Linked DNA regions of Coturnix japonica. The protein of the gene in region 1 interacts with the protein of each later gene in a biochemical or structural test. Links are inferred from orthologs where the notes say so. Each region holds a gene or a part of one and is shown on either strand. Other genes may lie near its edges. The genes, in order: BCAR1, CRKL and PTPN12.

Region 1 (5,256 bases):
CTCTCGTGGTTCTCGTAGGGACCCTCGGGGGACTCCTGTGCCAGCAGCTTGGGTGGGGAGGGCAGGGGCCGTGACTGGATGCTGCTGGCCTTGTCAGAGGGGTGCGTGGGCCCGTGGCCATTGCCCTCTGGCGCTGGCTTTGTCCGTTTGAAGAGCAGAGAAGCATTGCCATGCAGGAAGGAGGCGAGCTGCTTGGTGTCATCGGGCACACCACGCGAGTACATGACGAACAGCTCCAAGTCGTCCGTGCCCGGTTTGCCAGCCACCAAGGCACTGGGAGCCCAGTGACATGCATCCAGCGCCTGGCTGTGCCGCCCCAGGGCCTGGTAGACCTCCTCCATCTTCTGCAGCTGCTTGCTGAGCTTGGCGTACAGTGAGCGGTCCGAGGCCTGGGCAGCGTTGCCCACTGCCCCCCGGGCAAACTCCAGCAGCTCCCTGAGGGCTGTTTGAACACCCTCGGCTGCCAGGCGGATGCCGGCAGCATTGGCTTCCATGTGCTCGGGGCTGCGCCAGTTGGTGCTGATGAAGGACATGAGGCTGGAGACGGCACCGCTGACGCCGAGCTGGAGCTTGGCCAGCATCTCCATGGCAGCATCCAAGTCCAGGGAGAACTCCCTGCCGGCTCCTTTGGCCGGCTCCTTTACGGGCACAGTGTCCAGTGAGGAGGTGGAGATGTTGCTGCGGGTGCTGCCCGTGCTGGAGGCCGAGAGACGCTTGGTGTCAGCTGCCTTGGCCTCGCGGTCCACCTGTGGTGGGACATCGTAGATGTACTCACCCTCCATGTCCATCGAGCCCTTGCTGGGGGCGTGCAGGTCCCGCGGCACATCGTACACCTCCTGCAAGGGGAAGGCCGACCCCCCCAGCTTCTTGAGGCTGGGAGGCACGTCATAGATCTCGTGGGACAACGAGGGCTCGGGGGCGGCTTTCCCAGCCGCTGGTGGCACGTCGTAGACATCCTCTGGCAGGTAGGAATCCTGCTGGGAGAGCACCGGGGGGTGGCGGGGGGGCTCGAAGGCTTTCTGCTTGGAGAAGGCGGGGGGCACGTCGTACGTCTCCTCCCGCACAGGGCCGTCTGGCACGTCCTTGCTGACGGAGGGTGGCACGTCATATACCTGCAAGGGCACCACCACGTAGTGTCAGTGCAGCTGGAGACACACATGCACACCAGCCCCGCTCCCCTGTGCCCATAAGAACAGCTCTGGGCGTGCAGTGGGCTCGTGGAAGGAGAGGTGCACAGCGCAATCCTGCAGCACCACCACCCTCACGTGTCTCTTTTGGTGCATGAGCTTCCCCTGCGGCACTTACGGTTTGGTGCAGGTTCTTCTCCACGCTGGGGGGCACGTCGTAGATCTCCTGCCCTGGGTCCTGCCCATTGGGACCCTTGACCGCCATGGGGGGAGTGTCATAGACCTGCTGGGAAGAGATGGGATGGTGTGAGGGGCAGGAGAGTGGCCCCAGCACACACACAGTGGAGACCACGGCTCAGCCCAGCACTGGGTGCCGCATCCCTGCAGCCCATCACCCCACAGCCCCACATGCAGCCCCACATCCCTGCTGACCTGGCTGGGTAATGCACCGCGTGCAGGTGGCACATCGTAGATCTCCTGTGAGCCCGAGGAGAGCAGGTGGCGGGGAAAGTCGTATTCATCCTTCTCAGCCTTGGGGGAGTCATAGACGTACGCCTGCCCCACGCGGGTGGGCAGCAGCACCTACGAGAGAGGGCAGGGCTGAGCCTGGCGCACCCCCCGCTGCTGCCCCCCGAGCCCATCTGGGAGCACCGTGCGGTGGGTGCCCACGCGAGGGCGCTCCCCGTCCGGCCTGGAGCTGTCACCGCTCCGTGCAGTGACGCTGGAGGGACGGAGATGAGATCACCGGTTATTTATAGCAGCCAGCCTCGGCTACAGACAAAGCCCGGCCGCACGGCCGCCCTGTGCGATGAGAATGGAGACCTGAAGGTTAATTGTGGCACCGAGGGACCCAGCGATGGAGGACGAGCCCAGACCCCCACCCGCATCTCGGTGCAATGTGGTGCGGCAGCCATAGGAGGTTGTGGGATGCTCGCAATCAATGGGGTGCCCTGCCCACGAGGCACGGTGCTCAGTGTCCCCTTTTTCCCACTGGATCTTCCAGGGAAACGCAGCTCATCTCAGCCAAAAGCGCTTCACTCCCCCCCTCCATAACCCCACAACAGACTGGAGCCCCACAGCATCAACCCACCGCCGTACCTGGACCCCCATCCTACCTTTCCAGAGGGCTTGGGCCCTTCCCAGCTCCTCGCATCCAAAGATGGGGGCACTTGGTAGATGTCTTGAGCCTGAGCCGAGGGAGGGACCTGGTAAATGTCCTGGGGGGGGCTGGCAGAGCCCGCAGGGAAAGCGTCCACCGCCTGGCTCAGGGACGGCGGCACCTGGTAGATGTCCTGCCCGGCGCTGGGGAAGCCGTGGGGCGGCGTTTGCTTGGGGTAGGATGGGGGCTGCTTGGCCGGAGCCGGGGGAAACTGTCCAGCGGGTGCCGAGCCCGAGTACAGGCCCTGCTGCCCCTTGCCAGGAACCGGCATCAAGTAGACGTTGTCCCCTTGTGGCGCGTAGGAGGGGTGCATGGCGGTGTACTGCGAGGCGGGCGACAGCGGCGTGTACCCCCCTTGGTGGTGGTACGGCAACGTGGGCTGTGGTGCTGGCGGTGCCTGGCCCTGCCCCGGCCCGGCCGCCTGCTGCTGCTGCTGCTGCTTCTTGTCGTACATCCCCACCAGGATCTTGAGGCGGTTCCCCGGCACGATGCCCTGCCGGCCGTGCAGCGAGCAGAGCCACCAGCCGTCCAGGCCCTGCGTGTTGCGCTCCAGCACCGTCATGATGTCGCCTTTGCGGAAGGAGAGCTCGTCCGGGGACTCGGCCACATTGTCGTACAGCGCTTTGGCCAGCACGTTCTGCAAGAGAGCCCCGCAACGGGCCGGGTCGGGACTCATCGCGGATGGACTCGGCGGCACCAAGGGCGCCCGGCACCCGACGCGGCCCCGGCGCTGCTCCTCCTCGTCCCGGTTCAACCCACCCGTCCCGGAGCCGGCGCCGGGACGGGGCCGGACCCCCCGCGCCTCCCGGTGTCGGGGACCTCCTCTGCCTTTCCCTCCCCTTCCCGCCGGGGAGGAAGTGCCATGGAGGTGACTCAGCCCGCACCGAGAATTCCCCCCCGGCCGCCGGGCGGGCACAGGGACACGCGTGTGTGTGTCCGTGTCCGTGTGTCCGTCCCGCTGCCGGCCCGTCCCGCCGGTGATGCCGCGTTGCCCCGCTCGGTGCCCCCTCCCTCCCCCGCTGTCCTTCCTCCTGCCGCCGCGCTCGGGTGGATCCCGCGGTGCCGGCAGCGCTGCGCAGCCCCGCAATGGCAGCGCCCCCCGCCCCCCGCGGGACGAGCCGTGCCCGGACCGGGCGGGCAGCGCCGACCCCGTGGCCGGAGGGGGCTGGGTCGGGTCGGGTCGGTGACGGCCGCGCTCGGTCCCGGAGGCCCCGTCCGGCCCTTCCCCACCCGACGGGCCCCGCTCCCGGCGCTCGGTCCCCGGCTGATCACGGATCCGCTCCGACCGCCGCTCCCGGCCCGGCCCCATCCGCCCGCCCCCGCCGCCCCCCGCTCCGTCCCGCAAGGTGACCCCGCTCACCAGGTAGTTCATCTTCGCCTGGCGGGCGCGGCCCCGCGGCGCTCAACGAGCGGCGCTACTGCGTGTCCGAGAGGCGCGGCCCGCGGCGGGCGGCCGGAACCGGGATGGCGGTGGCGGCGGCGGCGGCCGCGCCGGAGGGATCATTCCAGCGCCGTGCCAGCACGGGCCCGACCGCCCCGCCCCGCCCATGGGCCGCGACGCACCGACGGGAGGCGGCGCTGCGGCGGGAGGAGCGGGAGGGAGCGGGGCCGCGCTGGGGGCCGGCAGGGGAGGGGAGCGGGGGGGGGGGGGGGGGGGGGGGGGGGGGGGGGGGGGGGGGGGGGGGGGGGGGGGGGGGGGGGGGGGGGGGGGGGGGGGGGGGGGGGGGGGGGGGGGGGCGCGGGGCCGGGGCCGCGGTCCTATCGCCGCCCGTCGGGGCTCCCCGGCCCTTGTAGGGCTCTTCCTGCCCGTGGGAGGCACGAGGCCGGTCGGGCGCTGCCCGTCGAGCCCGCGATGCCGCCCCGCAGCCGTTCGTCCGCTCCCTCGGGGCCGGCGGAGCTGCGGTATCGTCCGCAGACCGCAGGCGGAACTCGGCGGCTTCCGCTCGGCGGTGATTGCGGGGCCAGCCCCGGGCACGGGCACCTCAACGGGCGGCAACACAGCCGGGACGTGCCCGGGGGAGCGCCCCGTGCTGCAGCAGCCCCGGGAGGTCGGTGCCCAAACGGAAACTAAAGGCTGCGGGACCCCGGAGCTGTGTGCCGTGTGTATGGGGACGGGCTGCTCACTGACGGCACAAGAAATGGCTTCAAACTAACAGAGGGAGCTTCAGACCGGAGCTAAGTTAGAGGTTCTTTACAGTCAGGGCGGTGAGGCAGTGGCACAGGCTGCACACAGAGCTGGTGCTGCCCCATCCCTGCACACAGCCAAGGTCAGAGAATGGGGCTGTGAGCACTGATGGAGCTGTGAGTGTCCCTGCTCAGTGCAGGACGCCTTTAGGATCCTTCCCACTCGAACCATTCTGCGATTCAATGATCCCATGACATGTCAGTGAGCCCAGCACACAGTGGGGCACAGCTCTGTGGGACCATCACATGTGGGAGGGGTGGCACTGTGCCCTGCGTGGGGCTGAAGCTGCCCGGTGGAGCAGAGGCCCCGCATGGACCCACACGGACCCACACGGACCCACATGGACCCACACGGACCCACACAGCTTTTGGCTTCTGGCTTTTGGCTGCTTCCTCGCGGCTCCATCCTTGGGAAAGCTGCCTCCCGCCCCCCGCAGCAGCAATAGGATTACACGGCACTGAGTCTCCTAGCAATGAACGGATAAATAAATCCTGTAAGGCAGCCGGGGATTTATTAGACTTCAATATTGGGGAAATAATGAGGACATTCCCGTTGGCTTGTAATATCACGGGACCCAACAGGATCACAACGGGGCTTTATCCCCTCGCCTTTCCAGGGGCAGAGATGTTTTGTCAGGCTGCAGATACAGCCCAAAGGGCTGCCCATGTCCTGCCACGACCCACAGCTCGTCCGGGGAGAAAACAGCCACGTTCCCGTTCTCTGCAGCCGCACAATGGGGAGGATGGGATGGATCCCACACGGGACCCCACAGCGGAGCCGTGGGG
Region 2 (4,330 bases), on another chromosome or scaffold:
CAGCAGACCGAGCTTAGTGCAGTTGCTGTATTCACAAGATGACTTTTCAGTAGTACAATCCATGGAGTAAACGTACAGGTGGAGTCGGGGCACAGAAATTCATGACCTCCTTTAGTTAAGAGCTGCATAGGTTTTTGTTGCAAGACAACCTGTCGATGCCTATTGTCAAGAATTACTCTTACAGCACCAAACACTTCAGTCAATGCTACTCTACTTCACAGTTAATTTTGTAATAAAATGCTCTACAAGAACTTCTAGACTGTCAGCCACTTGATTAATACTACAAAAGGTAACTAACAGATGAACCGAGTTTCTTTAAAAAAACAAACACAACAGCATTTTACATCTCTTGTTGGAAATGCTATTCTTACACTTCTTCAGTGTCTTCCATTCAAGGTACTTTCAGCTGAGTGAGAACAATGTACTTTTATGAGGATCAAGTGACACAATCAGTAAGAAAATGCACTGGATCTGAAGACAATGATCAAACTGACATTTATAAGAAGCAGGAAGGTTCTGCGGGTGTCTGAGGTTTCTCTTTTTGCTACAATGGATAGCTTCAGATATTGAGAAATGAATGCATTGGGGCACTACTGTTTTCCTGTCAGATATCCCTGGTTTTCTGCAGCAGATGCTTTTCTTTATCCAGGCTGTATTCTGTTCAATTGGTGCTCAAATCATTTAAAAAATACGTTCCAGTTCACCTTGAAAACACATTTAAAGAAGGTAGAAGATACTACTGTCCCTAAACTTTCATATCCCGTAAACAGGTTAAGAACTTGACCAGCGTGGCATTGATAAGACTCACATAGCTACAGCCATATAGTTCCTTACCAAAGGTGCAATTACAACAGTACAGCTTTTGTACAGAAAAGGGGAGAGAAAGCTGTATTGATAAGAGACACCTGTGTGGCCTCCTCCAGCATGAACTTTAATTATCAGGTGTAAAACCTTTGGCAGCTGACTCCAATTAACCACTTTCTAGAGGAAGCTGAGAGTAGGAGGGGTCTGGGGCATATGTATATAAGCCAGAGCCAACTCCTTTGGAAGGTGAAAGGTTGCAGCATGTGAATGACTTGTGATGTGAGGGGAAGAAAATGAAAGAAGAAAGAACTTCTGGAAGAGGAGCACGGCAACGTGGAGATACCCTGGAGAAAAAGGTACTGTGTTCAAAGCCTTCAGCAAGTTGGGGCAGGTATAGCCAGGAAACTTGAGAGCAATAAGGGAGACTATAGAGAAACAGGTATAAAAGGTTTATGTTTAAATAGTAAGAATTTATCAGTATTTACCAATGTCTTCTGTCCTGTTCCTTTTGTACTTCTTCATGCTGTAACAATCTGATCCATCTGCCTACCAAATAACAGCTGGGTGACAAGCATTACTACATTAGTAAAGCTCTACTTCCAACACTGCAGAAGGGCTCTGTGTAGACCAGGTCAAAGTGTTTCCCTTTAACGCTCACTTATTACAGTTAGTGCTTGCAAAATCAACAGAAATACTTTATGTCAGAAATGGGTTACAAGTGTGAACCCCTCCTAAGCTTCCTTATAAATAAATGCTTCAGCTTCAATGCAGCTCAACCAATGGTTATTTGTATTTAACACACACTTCCAGGAAGGTCAACAAGCTTAAGAGTTAACCAGAATGAGCAGCTTCTAATGCAACTGCTTAGAATACGTAAGCTTCAGTTAATGTCCTTTTAAGAGACCATCATTGTAAGTGTACTACCTTAGGGCAGGTTTTCTTAAAACTAAGTTTTCTTCAGTCCTAAAATTGCATTTTTGTTGTTGCTTTTTGTTGGACAGTAACAGACGAGTTGCATGTTTGCTCTATGATAGGGCTCTTCCTACTGAGCAGGCCAGAACAAGTCCATGGAAGTTTCAAGAAGAAGGATTTTCTTCCCATGCTTGTCTGCTATTTGCTTCAGTCTTCTCCAGCTTAAGGCCCAATACAGTTTTAAAAGTGAAACCAAATTCTGGTTGCTGTATCTATGGTATGAAGGTCAGGCAGTGACTTCAGTTTGTATGTATTCCAAATGTGTATTAAAAGAACTGTCAAACTGCAGCAAGCTGGAAAAATGGGCAATGCTAGCAATGTGCCATTTAGCCATCATCCCACCTCAAACAACACTAATGAGAGCCAGGAAAGGGAAGCAGCAGTGTAAATCAGATCAAGGGAATCATTCGTTCTCATCTGGGTTTTGAGGGTCAAAGATTTTGACATGTGTGAATGGGAAGAGCCCTTTTCGCCCGTTGACCTCTCCTTCCCACTGACCGTTTATATTCATCCTTGTAACCTTCACAATATCTCCAACCTGCAGCATTAAAAAAAACACCTGTTAGCACACATGAGAATCTCAGCTTTGATACAAATCAAGTAAACAAGAACAAAAAATACGACTTCGTAACTTAAAATACCTTTAGCTTTAAAGGGAAAGCAGTTGTTTTTAACTGATACAAACACTTTGGTGCTGGAAATCTGTACACTTTTTGGGACAGCTGAACTGAATGTATATTTACATGTTGCAATGAGTTGCTGAACCACACCTTTTCCTGTAAAAAAGCTTCTTCATGCTGCAATATATTTAGCTTAGACAGACTGACATCACTAAAGCTACCACAAGTAATGAGATGCAACAAGCATTCAAAAGAGCACAGTACTTGTTTTCAGCATTACCAGGTTTATTTCAAAGGGAAATTATCTTTTTCAAAGAGATTCCTGTAGTAAACAGACTCAGAGTTCCAGTTCTGGCTGTAAAGGTCTAAGAAACTGGTGGAGTTCTCTGCAATTCTGCTGTGCTTCCAAAGCAGATAAAAGCATTCCGTAACAGGTGTTCCCAAGTCTAAGATGCACAAATTCTAGCTTGGTTTGCTGCTTTCACCTTCACTTCCCATCAGAGAGTTTGAAACAGGAACAGTGACTTGTTGAGCCTTTCCTATCACAACTGCGTCTCTTCCTATTTGGCCAAAGATGAGCAGAGCTAAGCTATGATCGAGCAAAAAAAGAAAAAGCCATCAGCTCAAGTGGTAAATTATTCTGTTCGGTGCTGTGTTTAATTTGTATTAGGATAATTCATAAAGCAAAATGTGCTACAGCAGGCAGTGCTGAAGACTATATAGTTATTTCCCCCTAAACTGTTTCAGAAGAGCTGAGCATGCGGCCTGTTGCAGCAGCCTTCTTAATTGCATCTCCCTTCCTGTTTACTGAATTGCATCTATGTGGTAACTATAGTAAAGTATAGAAAAGTGACAACAGCAGCTAATAGCTGAGGGCACAAAAGGTAGAACCATGCTACAGCTAACAGTAAGCACTTGAGAAGGTTCTACCCCAAAGGAGGTTCAAGCACTACACAGCCGGGTTTCACATCAGCAGCCAACTTCTATAAGCTCCAGAGGCAACAAGCTGTGATCTTCTTGAGGGAAAAACATGTTAGACACAGTATGTCAATAATAACAATTCATATGCATTATCTCAGTAACACTGACATGTAGAACTAACACAGGTAGTTTCAGGACCTCGGCAAAGGATTTTGAATTCTAACTTCTCAGTTAGATGGGTGCATCTTTACTCAAAGTAAAAGGCTGATTTTACAAAACATATTCCTAAAGCCTACTGCAAGTAGTTACCATTACTGCAATAAAGCGTTATTTGAAGATTGCTCAGAAGCATTCCTAACCCTTAAGTGAGACTTAAGATGTTACACTCAACTCTGGCACTCGCTCAGCAATGTGTAGCTCTGAAGATTTCTCAGAAATGTAAGCATATTAGAATGGAGTTAGATAATAATTATGTTCACCCCACTCTCTTGCCCTGCTTTTACCGCTACTTAGAGGTTTTTTCCACTTCCCATCTAGATGTTCCAGATGGCACATGTGGAACAATGTTGTACTTTCCAGAGAGGAAAATCCTCTCTGAACTCCTATACGTTCTTGTGATAATTGTGGGACTTTCTTCAACTGTCATCTTCACGTATGTAAACTAAAAGATAAAGTCTGTGTATCCTCTAAGTAGTGATACACTGCCTGATAGTTACATGCTCCTGTAGCATCAGTGTGGCTGGTTTCCATCTCTTCTTGGAGTGCTGCAGCTTGTCTTGATGGTGTGTTTGAGAAAAAGCACAATTTGTCTGACTTCTCATTAAATGGAAAGTCTAGAGAAAGCTTTATATAGTAACACGATGACTTAAACAGGAACCTAACAAAAGCCTCTTTAGGAAAAGGCTGATAACATCTATAAATAACTCGGTGTTACTCTGCTAGATTTAAGTAACTTTTAAGGACAAACTTGAGTTCCAGGTTTTAGACTCGAATTCAGAAAGCTTCACTACGAC
Region 3 (4,489 bases), on another chromosome or scaffold:
CATTTCTGCCTTTTTCTACACCTCCCCCCGAACGCTTTACAGCTGCCTTTGCGCACTGTTTAAAAGATTGCCGAAAAGGTAGATGTGAATTTCCAGGATCTTTACATTTAGTTTGAGAGAGAAACTACTCAAGTTTGTAAATGGTCTGTGATGTGATCCCTTCAAGTTCTGATGACATTTTAAGTCAGTAGTTTTGATAGTCCTGATGGTAAAGTGTTTGTTAGCTACTGTAACGTTTTGTTTGTCTTATAGCAAGTATTAAATGCTGGAATAAGCAGATATTCTCACAGATATTTCATGTTCTTTGAGGATATTTTAATCTTAATATTCTTATGTCTTCAAACTACTGAAAAACATTTAATAGAACCATTGTAAATGTTTCTCATTTACAGGGTTTGAAAACGGCTTCGCCTGTACTACCTGGTAAGTGATGGAAAAGGTTGTGGCCATTTTTATTGTTTTTTTTTTTAATATGAAAAAGAATGCTTTTTCCACTAATCAATTTGTCTAGCACCCCTGTAAGAGGAGACAGTTCAAGGAACTTTAGAACTGATAGGATGCATTGGGTGTATTTTTATTAGAAGATCAGAAAATAACTATATATAAAGGTTTCAGTGAGGAGAGCAGTCCATCAGCTGTTGCTCAGTGGTGCAGGAACCTGATCAAACAAATGGATTCAGCTGTGATCTTACTTGATCTGCTACGCACCTTCTGTGTGTGCTTAAATTAGCTGCTACAGTCCATTTGGGCTTGTCTTATATGCTTGGTAGAACTAATTTTAAACAGTGAAATAGTTTTTCAAAATATTCCAGGTTAGCTAATAGGTGATTATATAAATAATGCAATACATAGTTACTGAATGTGGCCTTAAGCACCTTGCATTCAGAAATGACATGGACAGATGAGTTTGTATTGATGTCCTAAATGGTACGTTGTGGCCTCTGGGGATTTTTAGATATCCTTTCAAGGTTCATTAAATGGAAGTTTTGTATTTGGTGAGCAGGGACGTGTCACTGGAATTGCTGAGCATCTGCATGTGAACGATTTTGAAGAGTGTTTTTAAGAGATTAGAAAAATGTGCTGCTTAATCTTTACTTTTGTAAACAGTATTTGATGCACTTAATGTTCCGGACTGAGCTGTACTTAAAAATAGCACCAAGTGCTGCCTGGATGAGCACTGCATTCAATGGCTGCGTCTTTGTTTTCCAGGTCGTCCTGAAATAAGCAACAAAACGCCAACGGATATTTTACCTCAGATTCCTTTTTCTGGTTCCAGTGATCCAAGAGGTCCAATTTCAGATCTTCCCACAGATGTAACAGATATTGGTAATTACAGTTCATTCAAAGCTGACTGCTTGATATTGGAACAGGAGATTTCATTAGCAGTGCTGGTTCAGAGAGCTGCTGCTGCCTTCCTCCAATTTACCAGTGTGCAAAACCCAACCAAATCAGCTGGCTCCGGCCCATCAGTGCCACTAACACTTTTACACAGAATGAGAACTGCAGGCGTTGGTGGGCATTAATCACTTTATAATTCTTTTTAATGAGGGTTGGGTTGTTTTTGGGCTTGATGATCTTTAAGGTCTTTTCCAACCTGAGCAGTTCTTACGATTCTATGATGTAACCTCTGCAGAGCATTGAAAACTTTCAGAAGTAACATCTGGAAAAACTGCTTTGGTTTAAATAGCGACATACAGACATGGGCAGTTTGTATATAATTATGTTTTCTATGGCTTTACCGCCTTTAGAGTTCTTGGTACCACAAAGCATTATCTTAGCCCTGAGAATAGAGCTGCTGGAGCACATCTTACAGCTCTCTTTCTGACTGCTACCAACACTTTGAGGTTGTGTTGTTGAAGTGCACAGCAGTATTAAACCCCTGTGTTTCTTTAGGTTTTGGTAACCGCTGCGGAAAGCCCAGAGGACCGAGAGAGCCGCCTTCAGAATGGACATGATCCAAGAGCTTACGGACACACTATCAATAAATTATACTGGAAAACTCAAGTGCCACTGAACTAGAAAAAATAGTATTCCACTTTTCTGGGGGGCAACTAACACAGAGCAGAGTAGATCTAACTACCAGATGGTACATCTTTACTGTACATCCCACGCAAAACCTTAAACATTGTTCACAACAGTGGATTCCAGTATTACAACTTAACTTCTTGCTGGGGCCATCTACCTGCCTTATTACACTTAGGAGAAAGTATTACATACGATTTATTTTGTAACTTCAAGTATTATTGCCTTAATGTCTTTTAACCCTGTTACACGCTGCTTGTAGACATATGTTAATATAGTAATACTTGGGACAGATTGTGTTTATGGACTACTTTTTGCTAACGTTTGATTACCGTGTATGCATTATTTTGTATATGTACAGGGCAAGTAAGTATATAATTTGATAAAGTTGCAATCATAAAATATTAACAGAAGATGTAAGAAATCTCTGCATGATCTAAATTTTTGTGTACCTTATTTGTAAATTATTTGCCCTGAAGTTTTAGAAAATAGTTTCTGGGGTTTTTGTTTTGGTTTTGTTTTGTTTTTTGTTTTTTTTACAAACTTGCTGGACACACACAGCCAGAATTGCAGGTTAGCAGAGATAAAGATTGTAATACATTTTGTAAATTGTAAGCAAAAGGTTATTTTTATATTATATACTGTTTAATTGTCAGACCTAATTTGTTCTGGTTTTCATCTAGTCACAGAGATTCAGTAAGTGCCTTGGAACAATATTGAATTCTCTTAGCCTGTGTATGTTACTTCAGTGTTTTGAGTTCATCTGGAATTAGATGATGGAGAATATTTGTATGTTTCTAGTATATTTGACCTGCCAGTAAAAGAGAAACCGTTCTACATCTTCAACACTCCTTAGTTTTCATTTGAATGTTTCATCGGCTGCAATTTGTAGAAAACTCATCTCTGGCAACTTTGTGTAGAATAGTTTCACCATTTGAATGTGGCGTGTTTCTAATTTGGGACAAACCAGAACACACTGAAAGGACTGTTAAATACCGCTGTCTTCTCTCTCAATGGTAAGTACCATTTTTGTCCTTCGGAGACTCTGTATGTAAGAAAGCAACTTATATGAAGGTTCAAGTAGAGCCCTTGCAGCTACACTGTATCTTGGCAGTATGTTACGTCGAGAGTTAATCCTTATAAGGATTCCTTACTTAAACTTTTCTGTAATAGAATCTTTAAATTAAAGAAAGTAAAAATTGCAGTATGGGTGTTTTTACTTTTAGGAAAACAGCTGTATTCAGAAGCAATCTAAAACAGATGGAAGGGTGGCAGCCTGGCTTAGCTTGTAGCTTCTGTGTGTGAATACAAATAGCGATCCTCAGGACTTCATCTCTGTTAATGACTTAAAGCTGTGGCTTGTAGCAATGCCTGACATGTTCAGAGTAAAAATGTTTATTTAGGTAGAGGAGCCGTCTATTAATGTGAACGTTAGCCGTGGAAATGCTGTGTTGAATTGACTGTTTGTGCCTTTAGGGTCTCTTTGCTAAAGGAGAACTGCTGCCCGGGTAGCAGCCCTGCCAACCATGTCCAAAAGATTCGTAACCTGCAATAACTGTTTTGGACTGCAGAGAAATCCCCGTGTTTCTCACCACTGCCTGCCTGGGGAGCTTTCAAAGAGCTGAATGTGCTATAAATCCTTCACCTTAGCTCCCCCTAGGTATGATTTTGCAATTACTCATTTAACAAAAAATCACTCACAGATGCTGTTGGGGCTGACCTGTAGCAGTGGCTGCCTGCTTTGTAGCAGCTGGCACAGCTGGGCTGTCCTGCACAATGGAGGTGGCCCGAGCTGTGTTACACTCCGTGCAGAGAAGATGAGCTTTGCCTCCCATGGTCTCACAGACCTCCTGCAGTTCTGTGATGGGCTGTTGTTACCTCTGGACAGTCCAAAGCACCGACAACTTGAAGCAGCTGCTCCATAAGAAAACTTCTGAATATATGTTAGCTGTGTGCTTTCAGAGTCATTTCCGTTTCTCTCTACCAGGAATATACAGAACTGTACAGATTGTGGATAATCCACTTTTCACATTAGACTCACTCAGAACCATGGCTGACAGAAATCACGTGTACTGTGCAGACCATCTAGGCTCATGTTTTCCCCCTAAGATTTGTGTGAGTTATATGGTATTTGAGTTTGTCATGGGAGATCCTCAGCTTCACTTCAGCAGCTCTGAAGCTGAAAGCCTCCAAGCAGGTTCCCAACTCTGCACTGCCACAATAGCTGCCTTTAGTCCTTGGCTGTACTGCCTGGAAGCAGCGTTCTGCTGCTTTAACACTTGTGTATGCACTGTGTTGCAGGCGGTAGATCCCAGTGGGCAGAAAGCTGCTTCACTTTCTCAGGGCAATTCTCCTTGGTTTGAACACGTTGGGCAGAACGTGACCATGGGCTGATTTAACTTCAGTTTGGGGGCTGTGTGCTCTCAGCTCCTATGTGGCATTATGAACATCCAGGGAAATACTTCTT

What was found.
Region 2: the proteins of BCAR1 (region 1) and CRKL interact in a test that uses a peptide from one of them, tested with the Homo sapiens proteins (2 studies listed by BioGRID, with this or other methods). The link is inferred for Coturnix japonica from reciprocal best matches to the Homo sapiens genes BCAR1 and CRKL.
Region 3: the proteins of BCAR1 (region 1) and PTPN12 form a complex in vitro, tested with the Homo sapiens proteins (3 studies listed by BioGRID and IntAct, with this or other methods). The link is inferred for Coturnix japonica from reciprocal best matches to the Homo sapiens genes BCAR1 and PTPN12.

The regions. Positions count from the first base shown.
Region 1 is NC_029526.1:681,181-686,436, reverse strand, and holds the start of BCAR1 (breast cancer anti-estrogen resistance protein 1), read right to left. Parts: upstream 3,628-5,256; 5' UTR 3,596-3,627; coding exon 2,243-3,595; intron 1,710-2,242; coding exon 1,560-1,709; intron 1,414-1,559; coding exon 1,306-1,413; intron 1,113-1,305; coding exon 1-1,112. UniProt on the Homo sapiens protein: Docking protein which plays a central coordinating role for tyrosine kinase-based signaling related to cell adhesion. Implicated in induction of cell migration and cell branching. Involved in the BCAR3-mediated inhibition of TGFB signaling.
Region 2 is NC_029530.1:7,290,871-7,295,200, forward strand, and holds part of CRKL (crk-like protein), read right to left. Parts: intron 2,315-4,330; coding exon 2,180-2,314; 3' UTR 1-2,179. UniProt on the Homo sapiens protein: May mediate the transduction of intracellular signals.
Region 3 is NC_029516.1:11,312,934-11,317,422, reverse strand, and holds the end of PTPN12 (tyrosine-protein phosphatase non-receptor type 12), read left to right. Parts: intron 1-392; coding exon 393-423; intron 424-1,209; coding exon 1,210-1,326; intron 1,327-1,893; coding exon 1,894-1,955; 3' UTR 1,956-3,226; downstream 3,227-4,489. UniProt on the Homo sapiens protein: Dephosphorylates a range of proteins, and thereby regulates cellular signaling cascades. Dephosphorylates cellular tyrosine kinases, such as ERBB2 and PTK2B/PYK2, and thereby regulates signaling via ERBB2 and PTK2B/PYK2.